Linked DNA regions of Mus musculus: all the other regions are reported to be linked to region 2. Evidence: microRNA targets listed by miRTarBase, many of them from high-throughput screens and not tested one by one. Region 2 holds a microRNA gene; each other region holds the end of a gene's coding sequence.

Region 1 (3,233 bases), not on the chromosome of region 2:
GGCTACAAAGTGGTACAGCCTGCCTTACATAGTGAGACCCTCTTCCAAAATCAAAATGGCAAAAAACAACAACCAAAAAACCCATCTCAGGTCATTTTCCCACAGAATATGTCTGGAAGGTCTCTACAAATCCCAACAGTGCTTTTTAAATTTGGTATTTAAATAGGGAACTGAGTACTTTTTAAATTTAATATCAGAATCTCTAAGTTCCCTACTGTTAAACCACCAAGCCAACACACCAGGAAAGATATGAGATCTGAGGGAGGGTCTCTGGGAGCCAGCCGGACTGTATCCCCACCCCTCACCCCTGCTAGCTTTTCGCGAACTTCTGGGGAAAAAATTCATTTTATGCAAGTTGGCCCGCAATCCCAACCTGAGCGCATCCCCTTCACCACCTGCTTTCACTCTGCTTGCAGTTCCCAGAATTACCTCAAGGGACGCGCTGTTCCTTAACCAGCGGCTAAAAGCAGAACCCAGGCAATTCTCAGAGCTACTGCAAGGTGGCGCCCACACCCAGAGACTTCAAGGGAATCTTAGACTAAGAGCAGCGAATACCAGGCAAGCCCCTCCTGCATGGGGGTCCCAAGGGTAAAGCCGTACTAAGACCCTGGGGCAAGGGAAATCTGTTAGTTTCTTCATCTACCAAATGGAGGTTGAGGGCTGGGACTGGGTTTTGTCGCCACACAGCATAAGCCACGTGTGGCAGAGCACACCTTTGCTCACAGGAAACAAAATTCACAAGTATAAAGTCGTTTTTTTGGCTTCGTAGTATATTTAAAGTCAGTCTGGGTACAAGAAGCGTTGTCTCAGTGTGGGGGCTGCGGGGTGTGTGCTCATGCTGAACCTGGAGTGCACAGGAGCAGCCTCGACGTGCAGAACCATCTGAGTCCAGGAACCTGTCCACGGCACAGAGCAACCTTGTCATTGGTGTCAAGGACCTCGCATGAATATGAACCAGATGAACATGGCCGAAGTTGACATACAAGTTTAATGAACAGTTTAAACCTATGCTGTCTGTGGGGGGTATGGGGGGAAGCGGGTAGGAGCAGGGAGCAGGCATGAGGGGGCACTATTTGCAGGATGGGCGAGTCAGGTGATGCTGTTCTGAATCTGGTTGGGGAAGGCTGATGAACAGTCTAAAAGAGCTTCTCACCGTAGGGAATCGGTAGATGTTTGTCATAATTAGTGAGAAAGCAAAGCAAAGCAAACAGGGGTGGGGGTGAGATGGTAGGGCAAAGGATATTCGGGGGATAAAGGTGTTTGCTGGCAAGAATGACAGCCTGAGTTGGATCCTTAGGATCCCTGTGCTGGAAGGAAAAAACCGACTGAGGAAAGCTGTCCTTTGACCTCCGCCTGCACTCCTGCTGTGCCCAATGGGTACCCGTACATATACACAGGCACAAAATACATAAGTAGATAAAGGCTTTTAAGACACAGTCTCAAGCTGGGCATGGTGGCGCATGCCTTTAATCCCAGCACTCGGGAGGCAGAGGCAGGCGGATTTCTGAGTTCGAGGCCAGCCTGGTCTACAGAGTGAGTTCCAGGACAGCCAGGGCTACACAGAGAAACCCTGTCTCGAAAAACAAAAACAAAAACAAAAAACAAAAAGACACAGTCTCACTATGTAGCCCAGGCTGGCCTGAAATGATGTTGCTGTAAAGTAAAGGCATATCCAGGACCACCCCCACCCCCACCCCACCCTGCGCAGCCCAAATTAGCACTCAGAAGTTCCAGGCCAGCCTGGTTTACCTAGTGAGTTCCAGGCCATCTGAGGCTGCATAGTGAGTGTCTCTCTCAAAATAAACAATGAATAAATAAACAATTTTAAACATTTTAAAAGATTTATTTAGCTTGTTTGTATGAGAGTTTTGCCTGCATTCAATCTTTGTACCATGTGCATGCCTGGTGCCCTCAGAGGTCAGATGAGGGCATCAGATAACCTTGGAACTGAAGTTGCCAGAATCACCACTTGGGTGCTGGGAATGGAACACAGGTCCCCTGCAAGGGTAACAAGTGTTCTTAACTGCTGAGCCATCTCTCCAACCCCAATAAATAAACACTTTTAAAGAGGATAGTTACAACTTTCTGGGGGAAAATTAAAAAAAAAAATCAATAGATGAATGAATAGATTCTGAAAGATCCCAGTAAGGACAACTCCTTGAATTGTTTTTATTGTGGTTGTAATTTGTATGAAGAACCTGTCCACACTCTGGAAGTTTGGCAGCTGATATCTGACAGTCTCCAGAGCCAAATTTCCAGACCTAGGCTTACCTTTGTCCACAGCTCTGTTTCCTCTGTAGCCAGCCACTACTCCTGCCAGCCCTTAGCACACTCTTATCTAGACATCACCTGGTTCTGAGCATTCTTGGAGCCCCGCTCTCCTTTATCCCTTCATCTTTTAGCCATTCCCCTTGAACTTTGGTAGTCACAGGGTACCTGTGGAGGTCTGAATCCAGGAGAGTCCCTCCTTTGTTTAGAATTCTCTATGGCTCCCACTTCACTCAGAGCCAAACCTAAGGACTTCCTCAGAACCAACAAGACTTCCCCACAACCTGCCCTTTCATCTCCTGCTCCTCAATTTCTGCTGCAGCCATATGGAATGGCTCTCCTTCAGGGCTTCCCAGCTTAGGTTCCACTACCTGGATACCTTCTCATCACTTTCTTCTTTCCCTTATTGTCCATCTCAGATCCCGAGTGCATTTTTGTCTGTTCTTGTTATGGGGTGATCAATCACTTTCCCTTCTTTCTTGTATGTCCCCCTCCGTCGCTGGCTATTTCCTACAGATGATGCGCTTATTTGGCGAGTCAGTCTGTTCTTGCAAAGGGTTGGGAAGCGTCAGTCTGTAGCAGTAGGCACCAGGCTCCGGTTGGCGGTTGCTACTCCAGGACTGCCGGTGGAGCAGCTGGTGTCCACCCCGTCCTGCTGGGGAGACAAGTGTTCTGATGGGCTAGAGCTGCGATCCAAGGTTGGTGGCAGGCAGCGTCGCAGGCCACCACCGGAAGGCCCGGCAGCACTGGGGGATCGCTGCAAGCTGTTGGAGGAGTCTTGGTTGCAGGGTCCGCGGCCACAGCAGAGCAGCCGCAGGAGCGCGTGGCGCAGATCTCGGTTGGTGAAGGTGTAGATGATGGGATTCAGCAGCGAGTTAGCCATGGCTAGACCCAGGAAGGGATCGGCCTGCAGGAGCACGGGACACGCGCGGGCTGGGCACGCGACATCCAGTAATAGCAAGAGA
Region 2 (3,233 bases):
GCATTCATCTGAAGATTGTACAGGTAAAAAAACCTGCTTTCAGAAAGATGAATGGTGTAGGGATATGAGTTTATTATTCTCTAGAACTTACAATTAAATCAAATCAAGGTATAAATATCTTGTTTTACAAATAATGATGGGATATCTGAAGGCAACGATTTTAATAATGAAGTTTCTGCAATTTAACATGAAGTTTCACATCAATGGCATTCCATCTATGTTGGATTCCTTCATGAGAAATAGATGTAAGTACTTCTTCTCTAGATGAAAAAAATGCTCACCATATTCCTCATGAACTTATTGTAGCATCTTGAAGGTAAAAATATAATTCTTGGATTTATATTTAACTGGGCAGTTGGATTATATTTAGTGTTTTCTCAGTTTAGCTCATCTTGCCTCAGCGACTATATGAAATTCAGTCGTGAAGATACTTGATGAATGATTCTTCAATGAGTTCATGTTTCCTCTGGGAACAGCCTATGATCTCAGGAACAAGAATCTGCACCTAGACGCCAGTTGCTAGGCATAAAGTTTCATGTGGCCTATTACTTCAAGAGACAAGAATGGTAGAATATGCCAGTGGTACAGTGTAAGCTACCTGGCATTTAGTTTCTCATGCCTCTAACCTCAGTATGGTTCTAACGAGTAAAAAACACCAAATGTCTGTCTTCATGTGATCCCTGAAACCCGAGGCAGGGATTACCTTCATGCACACGTACATAATTTAGACCATACTTACCACTTGGGAATGGGCACCTAACTGATCAGGGGACTTATCCTTAAAAAAATACTAGCTCTCCCTTAGCAGCCTGAACTAGATATGGGAATTATGGACCCTTCCTCAATCAGTCTTTTGCAAATCTTGTACGAGCAACCATTAACTGTTGAAAGTGTGTTGGTGAAACAGCCTTATCATGTACAAAAGACAGTAGTTTACACTTTGACAAGTTGTGATTCTTTATAAAATAGCCTTTTGTCTTATTTAAAAAACAAAAACAAAAAACTTTTGCTGGGCAGTGCATGCCTTTAATCCCAGCATTTGGGGGCTGGTTGGGGGGTGGGCAGAGGCAGGCATATTTCTGAGTTTGAGGCTAGCCTGGCCTACAGAGTGAGTTCCAGTATAGCCCATGCTACACAGAGAAACCCTATCGAGAGAGACAGAGACAAAGAGAAAACAACTTTTCATCAGAACTGTGAGTTGCACTAATCAGTGAGTATAAGCTAAGCACATATAATGTAAAAAACCAAAATGAAATCAATCTCATCTCTCTGGTTTTGACAAAAATTCAGTGGAACAAGTGTTAAAGGAAATGCTTAGAGGAAAAAATATGGAGTGGTTGAATCTTAGGGTCTTCGGAATATCTTTGTAACTTACAGGTATTGTAATACATTGTGCTTGTAAGATTTTAAGTGACTATAACAAATACCTATCTCCTTCAAGTCAAGAAGACTATATTCCTCACTTGATCTGTCTTTGGGATAGTGATGATTTCATTTCTGTAGGTAATGTTGAAATCGTTTTTTCCATATGTAAACCTTTTGTATCTAATGACCTAGGTAGTCTTTGTGTTTTCAGTTATTCATATCATGAGAATATAAAGTATAAACTATATTATATCAATGTAATGTAATAAAAAGTCATGTGAATGGTTTATAAATCACTTGCTTCAGAAAGCTAAATGGAGGTAAAGAAGATTATAATTGCTCTTATCTTAATTGTGAAGAAAGAAATTTATTATATATGTATACTTGATAGTCCAAAAAATTGTAATATCTTTTAATTCTTTCAGACTTAATTTCCTCACTCAATATTCTGTGTGCAATGCATTACTGAGAATGGGTAGCAGTCACTTTGTACTATGAGTAACTGCAACATCTCTCAGTATTGTAAGGTTCAACAAATACAAGGGTGGTAGCCACATGGACATAGTCTTCACACAGTGGATGAGTTTCTTGATTTCAAGATACATTGCAGTCACTTTAAAACAGACATCCCCATGATAGATTTGTTGTTGCTTTCATAATTTTAATTCTAGTGTTATATGAATATGAAACATCTTAAGATATATTAATATGGAAAATAATAACATAATAATGAGTTTGAAGTCTTGGAAGTAGGGAATGCTATGAGAAGAATGTGTAGTGAAGAACAGTAATTAGTTACTCTCTGAGTCTCAGGAAATAAGATTAGAATGTGTTTTTAATTTAATTTATGTTATAGTGATAAAGTATCCTGACAAAAAAGAAATTTAGCAGGGAAAGGATTTATCTCAGCTCATGATTCTAGGTTCTAGTTAACCTTTCTGGAGAATTCAAGGCAAGAACTCAAGGACTTTGTCATATCACATCCACAGTCAAGAACAAAGAATAAATACATCCTTGCTTGCTTAATAGTCAGATAGTTTCTATCCCTTTTTGAAAAATTCCTTTATTTACTTTTATTTTATGAATATTTATGTTCCTGCATATATTTATATGTATCACGGGCATGATGGTGGCTTCAGAAGCTAGAAGAAATGTTGAATCTCTTAAATCTTAAGTTGTAGGCAGTAGCAAACTACCTAGTATAGATGCTAGGTACCAAAACTGTGTCTAATACATGAACAGGAAGTTTTCTAACTTTCTCTCCTATCTAACCTATCTCTTTCCAGCCCTAATCCAGAGCTGAGCCTACGAAATAGTGCCATCTGTGTTCAGGGTAGATCTTCCTCATGCAATTAACAACTGAAATAATCACCTACAGACTTTGCTATAGTCCAACCTAATGTAGAAATCATCTCACTGAGGCTCTTTTTAATATATATATATATATATATATATATATATATATATATATATATATATATATATATATATAATGTATGGGAGTATACTGTAGTTTTACAGATGGTTGTAAACCTTCATATCGTTGTTGAGAATTGAATTTTAGGACCTCTGCTCACTCTAGTCAACTCCACTTGCTCAATCCCTGCTTGCTGTGGCCCAAAGATTTATTATTATACATAAGTACACTCTAGCTGTCTTCTGACACACCAGAAGAAGGTGTCAGATCTCCTTACAGGTGGTTGTGAGCCACCATGTGGTTGCTGGGATTTGAACTCAGGATCTACGGAAGAGCAGTCAGTGTTCTTACCTGCTGAGCCATCTCACCAGCCCATTGAGGCTCTTTCTTACATTGTATAATTCTAGGTTGTGTCAAGTTGACAGTTAAAACCTACCAGAATAGACTGCAA
Region 3 (3,233 bases), not on the chromosome of region 2:
CATCAATTATCAGCCACCTGCAGTGGTACCAGGAGGGGATCTAGCTAGGGTTCAGCGTGCTGTGTGCATGTTGAGCAACACCACAGCAATTGTGGAAGCCTGGGCCCGCCTGGACCACAAATTTGACCTCATGTATGCCAAGAAGGCATTCCTGCACTGGTACATCACAGAAGGCATGGAGCTTGGGGAGTTTGTAGAGGCCAGGGAAGATCTGGCTGCTCTGGAAAAAGATTATGAAGAAGTGGGTCTGAGTTTCTGATAAGAAGATGACCAGGCAAATGAATGCTGAGTTAAAATCTCATGTTCTGTTTTTTATATATCTAATGAATTAGAGGAAAGCAAAAACCAAATCAGCAAGATGCAAAATTCAACATTAAATTCAATGTATTAATATCAACAATAAAGTAATGTTTTCTTGTGTACAGTAGAATTCACCTTTGCTAACTGAGAGCCTTCTGGGGATTAGGATCATTTGAACTACTGGGTCTCCTCTAGGTAGAGTAATTTTATGTTAGTTCTTATTTCCTAGGACAAGACTGGCTTTATTCTTTCCCCTTCCCTAAAACAACGCATTAAGGGAGTTTGGAACCGTGATGTTTCTGCTTCCTCTTTTTTTGTCCTGAGGCAGAAAATACACAGATTATGAATCCCATTTCTCCATTATTTATGCACTTACTATCAATTAAACCATAAATGCTTTTAGAATATTTCTTTTTCTTTTTCCAAGTGTGGGCTTTAAGTCCCCAGTTTGCTTTTCAAACAAAATAAGGAAGAAAGCCAACAAACAAGAATACTGCTGGTCACTTTTCAGAATTTGGATATGAGTATCCTGCAGGTAAGAAAGTACTGATTCCTTCTCTAGGTGGCCTATTCTGGAGGAAGATGTATTTGTTTTACGTGTGTGTGTGTGTGTGTGTGTGTGTGTGTGTGTGTGTGTGTGTGTGCATGTTTGTATGTCTGCAGGAGTATGGCATGTGGCCATGTCAAGTGGCAGCCAGAAGCTTCTAACAAGTGATTCTCTCAATCTCTTTCCACTTTGTTTGCTGAGGCAGAGTCTCTCCATGAACTGAGGTAGCTAGTCCAGGCAAGTTCTTGCTCTCAGGTCCAGGGATTAGAGGTGGGCAGCCATGCCTTCTTTGAATTTATGTGGATACTAGAGGTCTGAACTCTGTTTTTTTTTTACACTTGTTCACCAAGCACTTTATCCCCTGGACCATTTCTCCAACCTCTGAAGGTTATTGGCAGTTACTTGATTATTGCTATGAGAATGGATTAGACAAAAAACAAAACAAAACAACAGCAACAAAACCAAAAACTTTAACAAAGGTTGTGAGCCACCATGTGGTTCCTGGAAATTGAACTAAGGACCTCTGGAAGAGCAGTTAGTGCCATCTCTCCAGCCTGACTCCCTATTTTTTTAGGCATAAGGTATAAACTTCTGAAAATGATGAGCAGAGTCTTTCCCAACTCATACCAACTACAATCCACTCCTATCTGTCATAATGGTATCATAAAATCCAACCAAGATAGTCTCTCTCGGTTTCCAGAATATACTTGGCCTATGGCCAGTTATGTAATTCCGAGGTCACTTGTTCCCAGAAACCTTGGAACTCTTCTGTCTTGAGTCCTTTTTGAATCACCTGAGCAATGTGGAGCCTCCATTTCTTCCCACCCAGGATTTAGGGATAGCTGAGCTATGGAATTTCTCTGTATTAAATGTGGTATTAAGTAGGAATTGATGATTTTTCCCTGTGCATTTTATTAGGTCCTTTTATTTTTAAAGCTAAAATTTATTACATTCTTTAATGTACCTTTGTTAGCTCTTTTTCTTTAGCCACTAGAGGGCATTAGTAAAGTACACTCTCTCACTCATGCACAAAACATTTGTAGATTTTATTTTATATTAAAAATTAACTTCATAATATTCAAGTGAAAACTGTTTTTTAAACTTTAAAATAAACCTTGTGAATCCCACTCTTTGTAAGTCTGGTTTTTCCTTTATTCATGTGTCTATGTGAGGTGTGTGTGCTTATTTGCATATGTGCACTCATATGTGGGGAAGCACGTGTATGCACAAATGTATGTGCCCATGTGTGCACAAGTGTGTGGAGGGCAGATGCTGAACTGGGTGTGTGCCTTCCTTGATCACTCTCTTCATTGTTTGCTCAGATAAGTTCTCCAAGATGAGCTCAGGGCTTGCTAGTGTAGTACCCAGCTTGCTCTGTGATCTCCATTTTTCTTTTTCTGAATGCTGAGATTACAGGAGCTGCTACATCTGTCCAGCATTTCAGTGAGGCAAACCTATACACTTGTTTGTACAGGATCCACACACATTGTTGGTACTGATTTTATACTTCAGTAAATGGTGTTAAATATTTGAGATTGACTATGAATTTAATATACTCCATTTCTTTTTAAGGACTGTAGTGGTATGACAAACTCTTTCACAAATCCTTAGTTATACTTTTTAAGTTTAAACTATAAGTACACTAATTATCCTTAAACTGTCTGAAGAACGTTCATAAACTAGAAAAATCATTACTCAACATTACAATCTTTAACTTATTTGTGAAATGTTCATAATTCAATTATGAGTTAAAGGGCTTAATGTAATTCTTCTAAGTCAGATGCTCTTAGATGTTGTGAACACTGTAGTTTAAAGTCAAATGTGTGTAACCTTTTTATACTACAAGAAGCTTGAGATGTCTTCATTCAATTTGTTAACCACTTATATACCATATGCTTATCCTTAGTGTAGCTCCTAGGGACATAACACTAAACAACATAACCCTTGTTCTCACAGAGAGCCGACTGTAGTGAAGGTGGAGAGGGAAAGAAATGAGTGGAATATAAAAGTCTGTTAGAGGCCAGCAAGATGGCTCGACTGTCAGAGTGCTTTCTGCCAAGCTGTACGACTTGAGTTCGATCCTCGGGAACTCCACAGGGGAAGAAGAGAAGAGAGTGGCTCTTGTAAGGAAGAAGAGAAGAGAGTGGCTCTTGCAAGTTGTCATTTGCTGTCCACATTTGTGCTCTGTCATCACATGCTTCTGTGTTTGCATGCACACTATCAATAAAATGTAATTTAAATGTGAGTTACGTGGCATAATAAATGTATTCCACCCAATTGGGTGTCCTCAACACCTTCTTGTTTGTCCATGCCACAGTTGCAGGGTTCTGATCCAGACATGGCCCTCCAATATTCCTTAAGACATGATCAACCAAAACCTACTCAC

The links. The annotated mature microRNA mmu-miR-883b-3p reads UAACUGCAACAUCUCUCAGUAU and lies in region 2 at 1,865-1,886, shown strand. An mRNA with a match to its seed (bases 2 to 7 or 8) in the 3' UTR can be bound and repressed. Matches are read on the target gene's strand: a 7mer-m8 pairs with bases 2 to 8, a 7mer-A1 pairs with bases 2 to 7 and ends in A, and an 8mer does both.
Region 1: the mRNA of S1pr5 is a reported target of mmu-miR-883b-3p. Seed matches in the 3' UTR shown: 7mer-A1 at 2,021-2,027.
Region 3: miRTarBase lists Tubal3 as a target of mmu-miR-883b-3p. Seed matches in the 3' UTR shown: 7mer-A1 at 1,242-1,248 and 7mer-A1 at 1,379-1,385.

The regions. Positions count from the first base shown.
Region 1 is chr9:21,241,090-21,244,322 of GRCm38, forward strand. S1pr5 (sphingosine-1-phosphate receptor 5) reads right to left here. Exons shown (of 3, transcript NM_053190.2): 3 at 1,828-3,233. The coding sequence ends at 2,837. Among named protein-coding and RNA genes, the nearest start is that of Keap1, 3.4 kb to the left of the region's middle.
Region 2 is chrX:66,788,553-66,791,785 of GRCm38, reverse strand. It overlaps Mir883b (microRNA 883b), which reads left to right and starts at 1,819; the gene lies at 1,819-1,896.
Region 3 is chr13:3,933,304-3,936,536 of GRCm38, forward strand. It overlaps Tubal3 (tubulin, alpha-like 3), which reads left to right. Exons shown (of 4, transcript NM_001033879.3): 4 at 1-1,974. The coding sequence ends at 259. Among named protein-coding and RNA genes, the nearest start is that of Tubal3, 10 kb to the left of the region's middle.